Nothobranchius furzeri: one gene and its partner. The protein of the gene in region 2 binds, or shares a complex with, the protein of the main gene of each other region. Links are inferred from orthologs where the notes say so. Each region holds a gene or a part of one and is shown on either strand. Other genes may lie near its edges.

What was found. The genes of interacting proteins can lie anywhere in the genome.
Region 1: the proteins of pawr (region 2) and spsb1 are in contact, whole or in part, in a crystal structure (PDB 2JK9), measured with the Homo sapiens proteins. The link is inferred for Nothobranchius furzeri from reciprocal best matches to the Homo sapiens genes PAWR and SPSB1. Residues at the interface, in NP_001341661.1 of Homo sapiens: Glu68, Leu69, Asn70, Asn71, Asn72, Leu73, Pro74; in NP_079382.2 of Homo sapiens: Arg77, His78, Pro79, Val80, Ala81, Gln82, Gly110, Thr111, Tyr129, Val216, Trp217, Gly218.

Annotation. Positions count from the first base shown.
Region 1 is NC_091755.1:28,614,147-28,621,998, reverse strand, and holds the start of spsb1 (SPRY domain-containing SOCS box protein 1), read left to right. Parts: upstream 1-2,976; 5' UTR 2,977-3,205; intron 3,206-5,989; 5' UTR 5,990-6,178; coding exon 6,179-6,872; intron 6,873-7,852. UniProt on the Homo sapiens protein: Substrate recognition component of a SCF-like ECS (Elongin BC-CUL2/5-SOCS-box protein) E3 ubiquitin-protein ligase complex which mediates the ubiquitination and subsequent proteasomal degradation of target proteins.
Region 2 is NC_091741.1:40,728,180-40,736,165, reverse strand, and holds the start of pawr (PRKC apoptosis WT1 regulator protein), read left to right. Parts: upstream 1-3,866; 5' UTR 3,867-4,006; intron 4,007-4,229; 5' UTR 4,230-4,360; coding exon 4,361-4,885; intron 4,886-7,986. UniProt on the Homo sapiens protein: Pro-apoptotic protein capable of selectively inducing apoptosis in cancer cells, sensitizing the cells to diverse apoptotic stimuli and causing regression of tumors in animal models.

The sequences.
Region 1 (7,852 bases), on a different chromosome or scaffold from region 2:
GGTAAGATAGTAGATTTTTTTTGATGAGCCCACTGCTGAGCTGGACGTAGAAGCTCTCTTTGCTTTGTGGAGGGAGGAGAACCTCGACCCGAGTGTTTATGAGCCAAACTGCTGAGTGACGGATGGGAAGAGTCCGCCGGCCTCCTGGATTATTTCTGTTGGCGTTACGCCTGTGACTTCAAACACATTTTATTGTTTTTGAGGTTTTACAAAGAGCTTAGTATATTCCCTCATATTAACCAAACATATTAATGAGCAGCTAAACGGTTTCTGAGCATACGTTGTGGATAAAAAAAGCCTTATCTGCATGTGGGCCAAGGAGGCGCTCCTCCACCTCGAACCCCTCCTAGTTGGATGAGGTGTGCTGTTCCACTGCTGATTGCCTCTCTGTGTTTCAGCAGCAATGCACCATTCAAGTCTGCGGGCGACTTGACAAATGAGCAGCGATCTGAGCAGTGGGGGATGCTTGTACTGCACCACATCCTGTCCCGTCCACATCCCTCTGCCCTGCAGTGGTTCACCTCCCTTAACTGATGCGCTTTTACTCTAAACCAGCAAAAGCTCCGCTTAAAGTCACACTATTTAAAAATCTGATAAACACTAGAAAACGATTAAAAGAGTGAGTGGACACACACCAATACTCTTCTCATTCAGCTTGTTTTAATTTTATTGAAGATTTAAACGGAAGTGCATGGATTTTATTTGAAGTGATTTGAGTGAAAACTAATATATTTTTATTTTGTTGTTGAATATTTAAAGTCAGTTTAAATAAAAGGGCACGTTTGTGTTCACAAAAGTGGGCATTTTCAGCTTATTTTGTTTAAATCTATTTAATTAGTTTGTCCAAACCAAAAAAACTATATTGGATTTAAAATTATTGAAAATTGTGAAACATTTTTACTATTTTATGTATTCATTTATCTATAAAATAAGAAAATTGTATAATATTTTGTAGAAAACCTATTAGATTTTGTTCTTGACCACATCAATTAAACAGTAACTGGTGAGGATTCCTAGAAGGAATGATTTCCTTAACTCCACTAGGAACCAAAAGCGATGGTTTTTGTTGCTGAGTAAGGATATCTCCGTTACAGAGCTGAACTGTGCACATCTTAGATTACACGCCAAACACTGAAACCATAGATTTTCTTCTCACCTCCAGCATGAATCTATGTAAAAACAGTCAATGAGTTCATGAAAGTAGCCTGAAGATGCATTTGTTGCTCGTCTTTATTCATTGTTGTTTGTGAGTCAGTGCAGATACTAGATCTGAGATCAGTTCAAAAGCTTCATCCGTGCGCTGCCTGCAACTGCATCCACCACTTGAAGGCAGCATCCACCCTCTGGTCTTCTTCACAAACTGCATCTGAGAGCAAGCGGGTAGCAGAGTGTCTGATGCAGCATACGATCATTCACCTTGACTGCATGCATTGCTCAGACTTGCTTTAGTTGCAGCTGTCCATGCATACCTCCCCACACCCCAACCCCCTCATAAAGGCAGCGCACTCTGCCAGTCGTGGAGTGGGACGTACTATCGATCCTGCTGAAACCATGGTTTCTAAAAGGGAGGCAGTAAGCATGTCTGTATGCCCCTCCTCTGCCGTGGAGTGGTCCTGAGACATCCCCAAGCTCAGCACATTGCACCATCTCTGCATGGGAAAATGGGATTTTCAATGGGAGACGAGCTGAGTGGAAGGTAATTCAAGTCGCCAAGCCATGTTCCTCATCAAGGGTGTAAAATGAGTCAAGTTACCTTCAGAGGCTTTGCACATTGGACAAATAAGGTCATTTTCAAAGGTCTATTTAATCCCAGTGCCTGCCACAGATAATTTATATGACAAATGCAAAGATGAGCATGAGGTCTGAGAGTGAGAGGGCACTGAAATGAGAACATTTAACCAAACATCAGTTCATTATTCCTGTTCGCTCACAATAAAAATGAACATTTATTGTATTTTTAAAGAACTAAATATTAACTCTGAATGTGTTCAGAGGTGTGTAAGCGTGTGCACAAGTGCATGTGTGTGTGTGTGGTGGTGGTGGTGGTGGGGTCTCAGGGTGAAGCTCAGGCAGTGTGTGTGTGTTTCATATAATCCACTAGATGGCAACAGTGTCTTAGTTTTTCTAGCATTCACCTGAATTTTGCTGCATAGGTTCTCTTCCAGCAAAACTATTTAGGTCATAGTCATCCACGTAGGTCATTATTTCATTTCTCTTCCACTCACGATCGAACTTTGTTTTGTATTGGAGTTCTCCTTGTTAAGATACCAGCATAGCAGATAAAAAGTGACTGTATCAGCGATCCAGCTGAACATGAAGGTTGTGTGCAGCGTGAGTCATCCCGTTCAGTCCAATTCAATAAGATGATTTGGATGTTTCTCTGGGTTCAGTGTGTCTGGCACTTCAGCATGACTAAGTCAACAGCAGTGTTCCATGTGGATCCCCTCCGCTTACTAAATTCACAAAGGTCACTGTTTCAGAAACTAGAAGGTCTAACCGGCAGCCTGAGTTACAAAATAGTGCTGGAACAGGTGTGGTTATATTACGTATATATGGATCACATGATGTTTGTGTGTTTGTAAAAGACTAGAAGGTTTTAATAATCAGTTTTCCTTTCAACAACTTGGTTTTGGATCTTCTCTAGACAAGACTGACTGATGTGGAAACAAACTAAAACTAAACCAAGAAGATCATTAAACAGTTTAATCATGTTTGACTCACGTAACCTTAGATTTCAGGTCAGATGCTGGCAAGAGTTGCTCTGTGCAGAAAAGTGGATTTTATGAGATATTTTCCCTCACAAATTTAGAAAGAAAATGAACAAAAGGTTTGTTTAATAACCCAAGCGAATCAGTGTATTATTATTCATTATTATCCTTTCTGTCTGGTATTAAACATCATTGCAAATGTTTAGGTAGTTTGCTGTTTATCTATTTTTGTTTGTAGAGAGACGCAAACCGGAAATCACCCTCATGAACAGGCCGTCTGGCTGCAGATTCGCGGGGAGGTCCTAATCTGCTGAAGCAGCTGGGAGCATTTGACCACGTGACGCGAGTGATGTTTGAGCAGTCATCACCATTCACCTAATTCATGTCGGGCTCTAACGGTAAAAAGGTGGAACGACCAGGCAAAGGGGAACCACGATGAAGTAGAGTGAAACACTGAAGCGGAACCCTGGTCTCTACTTCACCTCCTCATCTACCAGGTCTGTCTGTGTTCTTTACGTTCATTAATGTGGCTGCCGATGCGTTTGTTTTTCCTTTTTGTGTTTCTGTTCTCATCTGTTTGGTGTCAAACAACAGCAGCTGTGAACGGCTCTGACTGTCCGGATGTCCATTGTGGACGCAGTCATTAATTACCGCGTTGTTTTCGTCTCCACGACACATTAACGTTAGCTTAATGTCGCTTGTTTTTGCTAACACAGCGACGCTTAATGTTTCTCTTCTTCTCGTGTAACGAACGTTTTAAACGCAGTCGAGCTGTTGGGGCAGCATTCACACCGACAGCAGATCGCCCCGAGCCGCGCGTGGATGGCCCTCGAGTCCGGAGGAGCCCGCGAGAGCCTCCGGCCCGATTATGCTAACGTTCAATTCAATTCATGGGCTAGTAGGCCTAAAGATGCTAACACCTTTTGTTTTCCACAGGAATTTCCTTTTGTGTTCCAACGAAAGGACATTTGTTCAGGCCTGTGCCAACATTGACTCAAATGTTTCACTTTTAAACCTAAACATTCGTTTAACCTCACGTGAACGATGAGTTCTGGTGTTATTTCAATGCTCTGTGTTGAGGGTAGACTGAAAGTGACTCCTAAAACCACAGCTGCTTAACACAAAACGGCTAATCGACACAATAAACCTCAGAACGCTCACTTAAAAAAAACATTATGAAGGTCACTGTTTTTATACGGGTTATGTTTTTGCTCCTGATCAAACAGACAAAAGCATGTGAAAGAGTCTACTAAACTTGGTTTTTTAGTAAGCATCGACTCATTTGTTTTGCTGGTCAACAAGCAGCTAATTCAGGTGGGCCAAGTCTAAATTGAGCCTTAAATGAGAAACAAGTGCTTCTGTGGCTCAGCAGATCTAGTGAGCCCTTCCTCTTGCATTTCAATCAGCTTCAAAGCAACCCAGGGCCCCAGGAACCCTGATCAGCCCAGGCCTGGCTTTTAGCCCCCAAAACACTATCCTCCACAAGAAACCTTTTCATACTTCTAAAGGTTATGTTTGTTTAAAACTATCACTTTTTATTCTTCTGTTTTGATTTTTTTGCGTCTTGTAAGGGGAGGAAGAATTGTGAAGTATCAGCTCAAAGGCTGTGCAAATTAACATGTTTCACTCTTCCTGAACGCCAGACAGCTATTGAAAAGGAGATTATTTACATTTAGATGCTGGCCACCCACTGCAGGCTTTTTCTTCTCTCCTGCTTTCCAATCACTGACGAGACATGACCCATTTAAATGGTTGTTTACTTGCATTAGAAGAAGAGCCAAGGCACTGCTCAATGAACTCTTGTCTACAATTTAATTAGAGTGGCCTTCCCAGCAGCACAATTTTCCATGTTACACAACATTGTTTGTAGTCACTGCTGTACAGTGACCAAAAAACATCTGTCATTGACTAATTTTCTATTTTAAATCGGTTTTACTTTGGGTGGTAAGTTTAATACGTTTCTGTACAATAACGGTTCTTTTTTAAACGATGCTTATAGAATTATATTAACAAGTGGGGTCTAATTTCCCATAATTTAAACACTGCTGCTTAATACAGGTGTGATCTATTTTAATAGGTTTTGAATTTCTGTGACGCTGAGGTTTTACCTCAATCTAGCTGTGTTTTCCTCTTAAGCATAACCCATGAACCCCTGGTATACCTGGGCCAGTGTGTCAAGCTTGTTATTGCAGCCTTGATGATCAGCTGACGTCATAAACATTCTTATCTTTTCTTGTCTCTGATTTATCAAGAGAAGCAGCATAAGAATCACTTACAAGGAAAATATGAAGATGGATTCATTCAAAGCTTTGAGTTTTTTTCTTGTAAAAAAAAAGTGTTAATGTCAACAGTCCTGTTGTGATGAAACCATATCAGTACCATCTGAGAAATCATACTAATTTAATTTATCAAGCTTTTGCCCCTGGTTATTTTAGGGAAAACCAAATTTTACAAAAGTAAAACTCCTGACTTATTGCTCTAAAGCATAAAGTAAAATTTGGTTTATATTGGTATTTTATCTCGAGACAGTGTCTTGACTCCCAGTCAAGTGTGTCCATTTGGGGTAAATGTTGACCTAAAGTTGGGACTCTCATCAAGCTAACAGATGATTAATAGAACATTATAAAATGGTGGTAATACTGGATTAAGACGTTTTTAGACTGTTCACTTTAAGTTAAATCTGAAACAGGCTGTTCTATTTAGTCAATAATCCAGTCTATTATACTTGAACCGACATTTCACTGATAATAGAAACTTGTTGTTCTTGTCTGTCTTGGTTGGCTTAACTTGACATTTAAGTGACAGAAGCAACAAGCAAGGCCATACTGCCATGCTTTTCCAGATTATAGTTCAACACTTTGGAAAAAACTGAAATGAACACATCCATGTGATTTACTTTTTCTAGCTGCTCAACACATAAGTATGTTCCTGGTTTTAATATAAATCTGTTCTGGGATATGACGTTAGGTTTAAAATATAAGACACTTAAGATTTTCATAACTCTGAAAATCACATGAGAACAAAAACACTTTAAAGGCTAAGCAGAGGCCTGAAGTTAATCTCCAGCTGTCACTCAGGAGCTGGATTCAGTGCTTGTATAATATGAACATGTACCATAACATTTTTAGTTACAGTTGACTGATTTAGTTACAGCTGATGTTCTATGTTGCTGCCTTTTAAATGATAACTGTTTGTAATGTTAGGCTAGTAAGAGTTTGATGCAGAAGGCCTGGTCGGTTTTATTAACATCTTTTATCTGCTTTCATTTGTAAAATTTCCAGGTAGGCCTTAAAACTTCCCTCGTCTTACTTTGGTGACCTGCGTCAAACGCTGGCAGATCAACTTGCATCTCAGGCTGTTGGAGCACGGTGGAGAAGGAAGGTCTGAGGCTCACCACTCCCCCCAGTTGTCTTTGAGGAGGGGGGAGGAATAGGAGGTGGGGCAGGAGGAGCTCTACAACCACCTGGAGCATGGGGCAGAAAGTCCCAGGTGGCATTAAAACCATTGACATGCGGGACCCGGCGTTCAGCCCCCTGACTTTGGAGCTACAGGCCCTGAGTCACACCAAGCCGTCTCGACTGGACCTGCTGCTGGACATGCCGCCCGCCGGCCCAGATGTCCAGATCCAAAACTCATGGAACAACAATGACCGGTCCCTCAATGTCTTTGTCAAGGATGACAACAAGCTGGTGTTTCATAGGCACCCTGTGGCACAGAGCACGGACGCCATCCGGGGACGCGTTGGCTACACGAGGGGACTGCACGTGTGGGAGATCAACTGGGCGATGCGTCAGAGGGGCACGCACGCGGTGGTTGGAGTGGCAACAAGTGACGCCCCGCTGCACTCTGTGGGTTACACAGCTTTGGTAGGAAGCAACGCCGAGTCCTGGGGCTGGGACCTGTGCCGGAGTAAACTCTACCACGACGGTAAAAATGTGCCAGGAAAGCCATACCCAGCCTTCCTCGAGCCAGAAGACGCCTTCATCATACCAGACTCCTTCTTAGTGGTCTTGGACATGGATGAGGGGACTCTTGGTTACTTAGTGGATGGACATTATCTCGGTGTGGCATTTAAAGGACTGAAAGGCAAAAAGCTGTACCCAGTGGTGAGCGCCGTGTGGGGACACTGTGAAATACGAATCCGGTACATAAATGGACTCGATCGTAAGTATAAATCTGTACACTGATCGAGATGTACTCTATTATAAGCCAGTGTGTAGCCACATAGGATTTTCGGGGGGGTAAAAGATCCATCAAGAAAAGGGTGTTTTGTCCTGTCTTCTAAACAGGATAAATGATGTCCCCCTGTTACATAAGATAATACATGTCAGCTGTTTTCTGACAGCTGCCTGCTATCCCTAAGATTAATATAAAATGACTACAAATGGAATAATCCCATTTATTTATCGGTGAATGCAACGTGAGCTTTCGGTCAGGAAACACGGGTTCGTTGTTAGACCCTGTCTTACCCCACTGCTCCTCCCTGGTGCTCTGTGCTCATCAGAGTTTAATGTTCAGCTCAGATCCTTTGACCTAGTTTGTATCTGTTCAAACGAGGCTCCACAGATGATGATTTATTCACAAAAGCCAGCTTTGGTTGGATTTGAGACATCTTCTTGCCTCTGGCTGTAGAGCAGGACATTCTGTCAAAAATGAAATTACATTTTTGTGACTTGTTTGTGCACAACTACTCCAGTCACTAAGGTTTTATCGCAGGCTATGTTGAGTTAGATTAACTTTGTGGTGAATGGCTCTTACTGACCTGAATTTAACCTGTTCAGTGAGGCCTGAGAGTTACTTGTTCTGAGTCAAGTCTCTAAACTCTGAGGCTGTTACAAACACACACCCTCGTAGCTTCTGCTCTTCTCTTCCTCCTCCTCATCATCAGTAAAAGACATGCCAACGCTTTCATCTGACAGCTTGACTAATGTATCCTGCGTCTAAATCTGCAGCTGGGAAAACAACTTACTTCCTGCGTGTCTTTTCTAGCTCATCAACCAAAAGACTTGTACACGATGCGCTTGTGTGTCTTCCTCTGATCTGCACTTTTCCTGCCAACTGCACACTTCGTCTTATGTGACAAAACTGAAAAGGGTCGCATTCTTAGCCAGGCTTATTTAGCTCATTTAAATGTGATTTCTTAA
Region 2 (7,986 bases):
TTGTTGTTTGGATTCAGGACATGAAATATTTGCAGGTTAAGGGATTTGTTTGGACAGATAAGTTTTCATTCACCTCTCACACCCGGTTTTCCCTCAGATGATCCTGGATTTGAACTATTGAACCTCCTCTTACAGCCGCTGTGTTCTAGTCCTCCTCCCCCACGCGCAGGGCTGTGCAGGCCAGGAGAGGTAGGTGATGGGCTGCAGGGTCGCAAGCAGAAACTAAGTGACGCACTTTTCATACAGTGCTGTTTGGAGGTTTGTGAGCTCTCCCAGACATGGTCACTGTTTTTCTAAAAACACCCAAATCCCAATTTGTGGAGCACACTTTCCAAATAAACATAAACAAACATAAACAAATAATATTCACACACACAAAGGTCATGTTTTCATTATTTAAGTCAACAAATGTGTTTATTTCACATAAAAATAGAAAATTTGCAAAAGTTTGCGTAGCTTGTGGCTCCTCTTTTTGCAGCCATTGCTTCCACTGACCAGTCCCTCACATCTGCTTATGGGGATTGTCCCCCGCTGCTCTTGGCAGAGCTCAGTTGAGAGAGGCTGGAGAGACATCTAGCAGCTTCTTCAGGTCTTGCCACAAAATTTCAATTAGGTTAAATGTGTGAAACACTGACATAGGGCTGCTCAATTAATCGAATTTTAATCACGATTACGATCTGAGTTTTGAACGATTATAAAAATCAAAACAAGCCGATTATTTGCTCCTCCCGCTTGCGCTGCCCTGAGTTGCAAATGAAGCGCTCCTCCACAGTGTTGCCAACTTAGCGACTTTGACGCTATTTCTAGCAGCTTTTCAGACCCCCTTCTTGACTTTTTAATCCTAAAAGTACCTGGCGAACATCTCAGAAACATCTCTGGTAACCCTTAGCTACTTTCTGGATAACTGTCGTCGACATTTCCTGCAGGTTAGCTAAACACTCCACCTGCGCTCCGGACCGTTTTTCAGGACATTAGGAAAGGGAATTATGTAGTGATGTGTCAGTTGCTAAAGAAACGGCTCTCGGAGTCGGCTCCTTGTTGGATTAACCAGAGTGAGTGACACACACCGTACCTGCGGACTCCTGAGCCTCTAAAAACGGCTAAATGTGCGCGTGCGGCGCGCTAAACACACGTGCGGTTTGCCCTGATTGCTGTGAGACCGGGTTGGGGGGTGGGGGGTGCAGCTGTGGTTGGGACAATTATTACATTAACTGATGGACTTGTAAATAAATAGTTTATAAATAAGGTAGAAATAAGTTCCTCACGCTGATAACTAATAACTAACCTCTCTGAGGACACGGTGCTAGTGCACTCACCTACAGCACCTTGACACGACTCAATAAATGTTATGCAACATTTTGTGAACATCAATTTATTTGCATTTATTTGTTATAAATGCCACTGTATAATTCTTGCTGTCAGTATTTGCAAGATATTGGTATTTGGGTCTGTACTGGTTAGACTCAAGGTCTATAGCCCTTGGGTCATAGACTATGAGCTATCAGTATATTGGTCTTTTTATCCTGGGAATCAGGAGTTATTTTAGTGATCATCTTGTTTCTTATTTTTGTCCTGATTGTGCCTTGAGCAATTTTATGACTGAATAAAAACAAATAAAATCAACATAAATTGAAAAATCGTCCTAAATAATCGTGATCTCAATTTCAGTCACCATAATCGTGATTATTATTTTTGCCATAATCGAGCAGCCCTACACTGACAAACACATTTTATGATTACTTCTGATTGTAGTCAGCCACTCTGAGGTTTTCATGCAGGCTGAACATGAAAATAGTCTCCTACACCTATCTCCTGCATTAGCTTCAAATAGAAAATAGACGTGAAACTCTAGGATTAGAAAAGCCCGACAGATCTACGTCACACTGTCACTCAACATTCATGGACTCACCCATCTTGACTCACAACGGGAAAGGGTGTTGGTTTAGCGTCAAGGAAACAGCAGATCACGCATCGGCTAGTAGAAGCTAACCGTTAGCTAAAAAATCACGGAAAAACAACAAAAACATTTAAACCGCTCCAGGAATTGACATTCTGTCAAACGGCGCTGTCGATTACTGGTAAATCACTACATGAAGTGATTATTCAGACCTGTTAGGGAGGTCAAAGTATAACTATGAAATTATGTGGGAGAAAACTTCCACAGAAAATAAAGTCTATTGCATCCTGTGCACTTCGTTTATTGCAACTTGTGAATATTTAGCTGTCCTTTCGTGTTTTAGTCCGTATCTGACTGAAGCGTGGACTCGGGTAAACTGAATAAATTACAGAAAATATCTTTTTATAAAATAATGTACGTTGATCATATTAATATTTGAAAATGTACACTAGTATTACCCTACATTATATTATAACTCCTGTTGGCTAAATCATTGAAAGGAAATCAGACTAAATGCTTTGTTTCTAGGTGTGAAAGAAAGTTAAGAAATTCAAAATAAAACCAAACTAACCAGAGGGCCATGCTAGGCCATAAAACTGATGCCACCATCTATCGTAAATAATAACATATCATCTGTAAAAATGCACGGTTCCAGTCGGAGACGCCTCCAGGACTGTGTCTATGGATTAGAACAGATGGAGCATTGTTTGCTATCATTAAAGTCTATAAAACAATGTATTTGATCAACTTATTATTTTATTTTTAAAGAAAGTTTTTGTTTTTAGTCTGTTTCTGTTTGTGAGACCTTTGGCCTTTTAACCCAGGATTTTATTCCAGCTTTTTAATAAGCAGAGTTATAAGAAGCTACAAGACTTTTTAAAACAAAATGTATATATATTTTTTTCAATTTTGATTTTGTGAATTTTTTTTACTTTTAAACATAAAACATTGTTGGTACATTTTTTTTATTTAAAATGTAACCCTTAAGGACCCAAACCCTTTTGAGATAAAAAAAAACTGATTGGAGTAAATACATAAAAATGTAGAAAAACATAAATTAAAATAAAGAAGTAAAATGATTTTTGATATACTGTATGTGTAGGATGTCACTTGGAGTTGTCAAACTTGAAAATATGACGCAAGAAGCAAGTTTGAAATTGGATGTGACACAGTGTCACCACGAGTTCATCTTAAGCCTTTTGGTTTTTTGGAAATAGTTTAAGATTTAGGCAATGAGCAAGATTTAACATGCAAAACTGGTTAAATATGGCCTCTGCTTCCAAGATGGTTAAACCTCCCTTTTTATTATATATATTTATGAGGGTTTAATATTATCATTATCATCATCATTATTATTATTATTATTATTATTATTATTATTATTATTATTATTGTCATAATTGTTATTATTATTGTTGTCATTATTATTTTTTTATGATCATCATCATTATTATTATTATGATTGTTTTCATTATTATTATTATTATTATATTATTGTTGTTGTTGTCATTATTATTATTGTTATTATTATTATTATTATTGTTGTCATTATAATTATTATTTTATGATCATCATCATTATTATTATTATTATTATTATTATTGTTTTCATTATTATTATTATTATTATTATTATTATTATTATTATTGTTGTCATTATTATTATTGTTGTTGTTGTCATTATAATAATAATAATAATACTTATTATTATTATTATTGTGATAATAATAATAATAATAATAATAATAATAATAATTATTATTATTATTATTATTATATTTAGAGCCACTTGAGTCTCCAGAGCAGCAGACTCATTTTCTCTACCTGTGCGTCGCAACGGTACAAAAACAACAATTTGTTCCCCTATTTAAACACTGACTTCTGACTTTGGGTGTTTATTTGATCAGTCAGATCGCGCGCGCGCTCCCCGCGCGCCGCTGAGGCGCTCCACATAGCGCGGGTGCATCTTTCAGTACAACACCGGAAGTGCCGCAGCTCCCAGGCTCGTGTCCTGTCCCACAGCGGCTCCCAGTGCTTTTCATCAGAGCCGAAAGCGGTCACACCTGGTCGGACCCAGAAGAGCAGTTGGAAGCCGCTCCGCTCCGTCCAGGTGAGTCTCTCCGCCGAGTTTATCCCGCTTTCATCAACTTTTGCGGGTGTTATTTAGTGAGAAGACAGAGTTAACTAAAAAGTGCGCGGCAGCAGCGAAGAAACTTAGTGGTGCGTTTCCAGCTGAGCGCGACACAAACAGGGCCATAAAAAACGAGCTTACAGCTTTTATTAAGTGTCGTTTCGGTCTGACTTGACCTTGTTTTCCTCCGACCTGTCAACAGCTCCAGAGGTAATCGCGTGAGGAATGTGGTGTCACCAGGGAGCTGCCGAGTAAACTCACGTCTGTGCGCCTCTCCACCTCAAGTTAACTCCAGAATCAAACAAACAAATAATTACACATCAAGGGATCCTCATGGCCACGGGCGGATTTAAGTCGAACCCAACCACAAACATCCTGGAGGAGTGGAAGGCGAAACGCGAGAAAGTCAGGGCGAAAATGCTGGGTGACATCGCTGCAGCCACCGGAGTTCCCTTGAGCCCCAGCGCCAACAACCGCCTGGGAGCTCCTCCCGGCGCGGACCTCACCGGCAGCCCGGACTGGAGCGCCTCTGCTGCGAACTGCCACACCCCCTCCTGCCCCGGCGTAGCTCCGAGCAGACCCGAGGAGGACGCGCACCACCCCGCGGCACCCTCAGCCCCGGCGAGCAACCTGAAGAAGGCCCCGCCTCAGCCAGACAAGGCTCCGGGCGCGTCCCCGGACTCCAGTCTGATGGCTTGCAACGCCAGCGACAAGGAGAGTCCGTCACCCAGCAAGGGCAAGGAGAAGAAGAGCTCTGGTCCCAGTGCACGGAAGGGGAAAGGGAAAGGGCAGATCGAGAAGAGGAAGCTAAGGGAAAAGAGGAGATCAACAGGTGTGGTGAACATACCTTCCAACGAGGTGAGTCAGTCCAGCTGGGCTTCAGTGTTCATCCTCAGGAGATCTTGCTCCTGCTGCAAGCTGCATCACTGGAGGCAACATTTGGATGAAAGTGAACAAGATAAAGTAATTCTTAAATAACTGCATTAAATGGTGGATGCTTGTCTCAAAGGTTGGCAATCATCCAGCAAAAGTTCATTTCAGAAAGAGACAAGAAAGCTTTAATAAAAGTTAAGTCTGCCCTGGCCTTCAGGAGGGCTTGGAGAGGACCTTCAGGGGTCAGGTCAAAGGTTATCCAAGGGGAAATGTGTCAAATTATCAGTATTTCCTAAAATATTAGAGTCACCTGAGGAAATTGTCTGAAAATCAGATTTAATGTCTTACTTTCTTAACTGTTTTTTATATTCTAGGTTTGATTTTATTAAGTGTTGCTGATGTTATGAACATACCTGAAGGGAACAGTGTGTATTTCCCCCATGAAACTACAAAAAACAAGGTTGAGAGCAGCCTCGTTTCCCCTAAGAGACTGCAGATTCCTCTCATGCATGTGTCTGGTTTAATTGCCCCTCTGCAGAGAGAAAAATGAAAAGCAGCCCTGGGAAGGGGGTGGAGTTGGCGGCTTCTGGAAGTGTTTGGAGGCGGTTGTGCCTCTCATTGTTTTTGAATTTAAATCATGTCGCACTCCTAATTCCTGCAGTTCCGACGCTTCGCAGCAACTCGGATCTGAAGCGGTGCCAGTGAGAGCCACCACAGTGATAATGTACTCACGCACTCTAAAAGCTCTTAAATTATACAGAAATGTTGAAAATGAGTTTTTTTCCCCCTTATTATTGAAGGTATTTCTGTAGAAGTGGTCCATAACGTTCCCATTGGCCCAATTAAACAGCCACCCAAGACTCTGTGCCTTTGGGCATCAGGACTTGGAGGTGGACCAGTTCTGCAGTTGGCTCTACATCCTGTTATGAAGGACTGTTGGAGAACTGGTCTCAGGCCAGAGGTGGGACGCTGGGCATGTTTGGTTTTTCCCAGATAAGTCCGATGACTTCCATAGGCAGCAGTCTGTGTGGTAAAGTTTGTGGACGGACTATAATTTAGGAAATCTGAGGTGAACTTTTGCACATCCTGAATGGAACACGTTGATCTGAGTAAGTAGCACACTGTGTGTATCTACATAACCCCTCACTAAACCAGCGGGAGCACATTTGTGCAACAAGCTTTGAAACACTTGTTCAGCTTTATTAGGAGACACGTGCACATTTTCCTCCTCGGCTCAGATACAGATCATAACTTTGCACATTTGCAGGTACTTTAGGTGCTCCTAAAGACTTAGACTACTGTAACTCTCTTTTCACGTGTCTGAGCAGAACCTCCCTGAACCGTCTACAGGTGGTTCAGAATGCCTGTGTTCGGCTTCTGACCAAGTCCTCCAAACACACCCACATCACCCCGCTTCTCCTCCAGCTTCACTGGCTGCCAGTCAACTTCAGGGTTCATTTCAAGATCCTGGTTCTGGTCTATAGAGCCTTACATGGACAAGCACCATCTTACATTGGTGATCTTCTTAGTCCCTACACCCCCAGCAGGTCCCTGAGGTCCAGTGATCAAAGCCTACTGGTTGTGCAGCACCAGGCTAAAGACCAAAGGTGACAGATCATCCGCTGCTGTGGCCCCCAGACTCTGGAACTCTCTCCCCCTGAGCCTGAGATCAGTGGACTCAGTGGTCTCCTTTAAAAAGCAGCTGAAGACTCACTTGTTCAGGCTTTGGTGTGACCTTCATCACCACCCTCTCCTTATTCTGTTCTTATTCCACCTTTCCTGGGATCCATTGCTTTCCCTCTTTCTTATTCATTTTCTCGCTCCCTTTCCTTGCATTTTCTTCTTTTCTCCTTTCACACATATTTCTAATCATTTTTTAAATCTTTTTATACTTAAATTTATTTGATTTTGTGAAACGACCTTCTTCTACGGCTACTACTACCACTTCCTCTTCTTTGGTAGTCCACATAATCATGATTAGTAAACCAATCTTGACAACAGAAATGAAACCCAAAAATCTAATTTAAAGGTGCATGATGTAAGAGTGACATCCTGTGGTCAAACTTGGGTACTACGGTCCATTTTCAAAACACACAAGTGACTCACTGTTCTGTGAGTTTCATGGCTGTTTTACGGCTCAGCGGCAGAAGATTCTAGGTGAGAAGTGAAGACGAGTCATACACGATACGTAAACACATTTTTGTATTCATGGTACTAGTAAATGGTAAATGGCCTGTATTTGTATGGCACCTTCTTGGGGTTCTACAACCCCCCAAGGCGCTTCACAACACAATCCATCATTCACCTATTCACACACACATTCACACACTGGTGGGGATGAGCTACGATGTAGCCACAGCTGCCTTGGGGCGCATTGACAGAGGCGAGGCTGCCGAGCACAGGCGCCACCGGTCCTTCCGACCACCACCTGCAGGAAAGGTGGGCTAAGTGTCTTGCCCAAGGACACAACAGCAGCATTCTTTGATCGGAGCTGGGATCGAACCTACAACCTTCCGATTACTGGACAACCCTCTCTACCTGCTAAGCTGCTGCTGGTGCCTGTAATATCTTGTTGTTGGTGATGGAAAAAGTAGCCTGAGATATTTTTCTTTGTAATTCACTGTTAGTAATGTTAATACATCAAACTTATGTAGCGCTTGTTAGGACACTCAAAGACGCTTTCATGCACTCTTACATTCACACACTGCCAGTGAAGGTAAGCTTCTACGTAGCCACAGCCGCCCTGGGGGGGAGGCTGCCATTTTGTGCCGTCGTCCCCTCTGACCACCACCAACACAGGCAAGTTGAGTGAAGTGTCTTGCCCAAAGACACAACAGCAGAATACCCTTGGCGGGAGCTGGAATCAAACCCATGACCCTCCGATCATGAGGCAACCCGCTCTACCACCTGAGCTACTGCTGCCCCACATTACCTAGCATTAGCCTCTAACATTTTTCCTCGATCTTCGAGTCAAACCGAAAGGTGCCGTGGCTTCTTGGGGTTGTGAGAACGTTGAGGTTAAGCCCCTGTTACTGGTTTCGCTTCTAATTAAAACGCTTCTGCAATCTGCCAGCCGGTGTTGACGT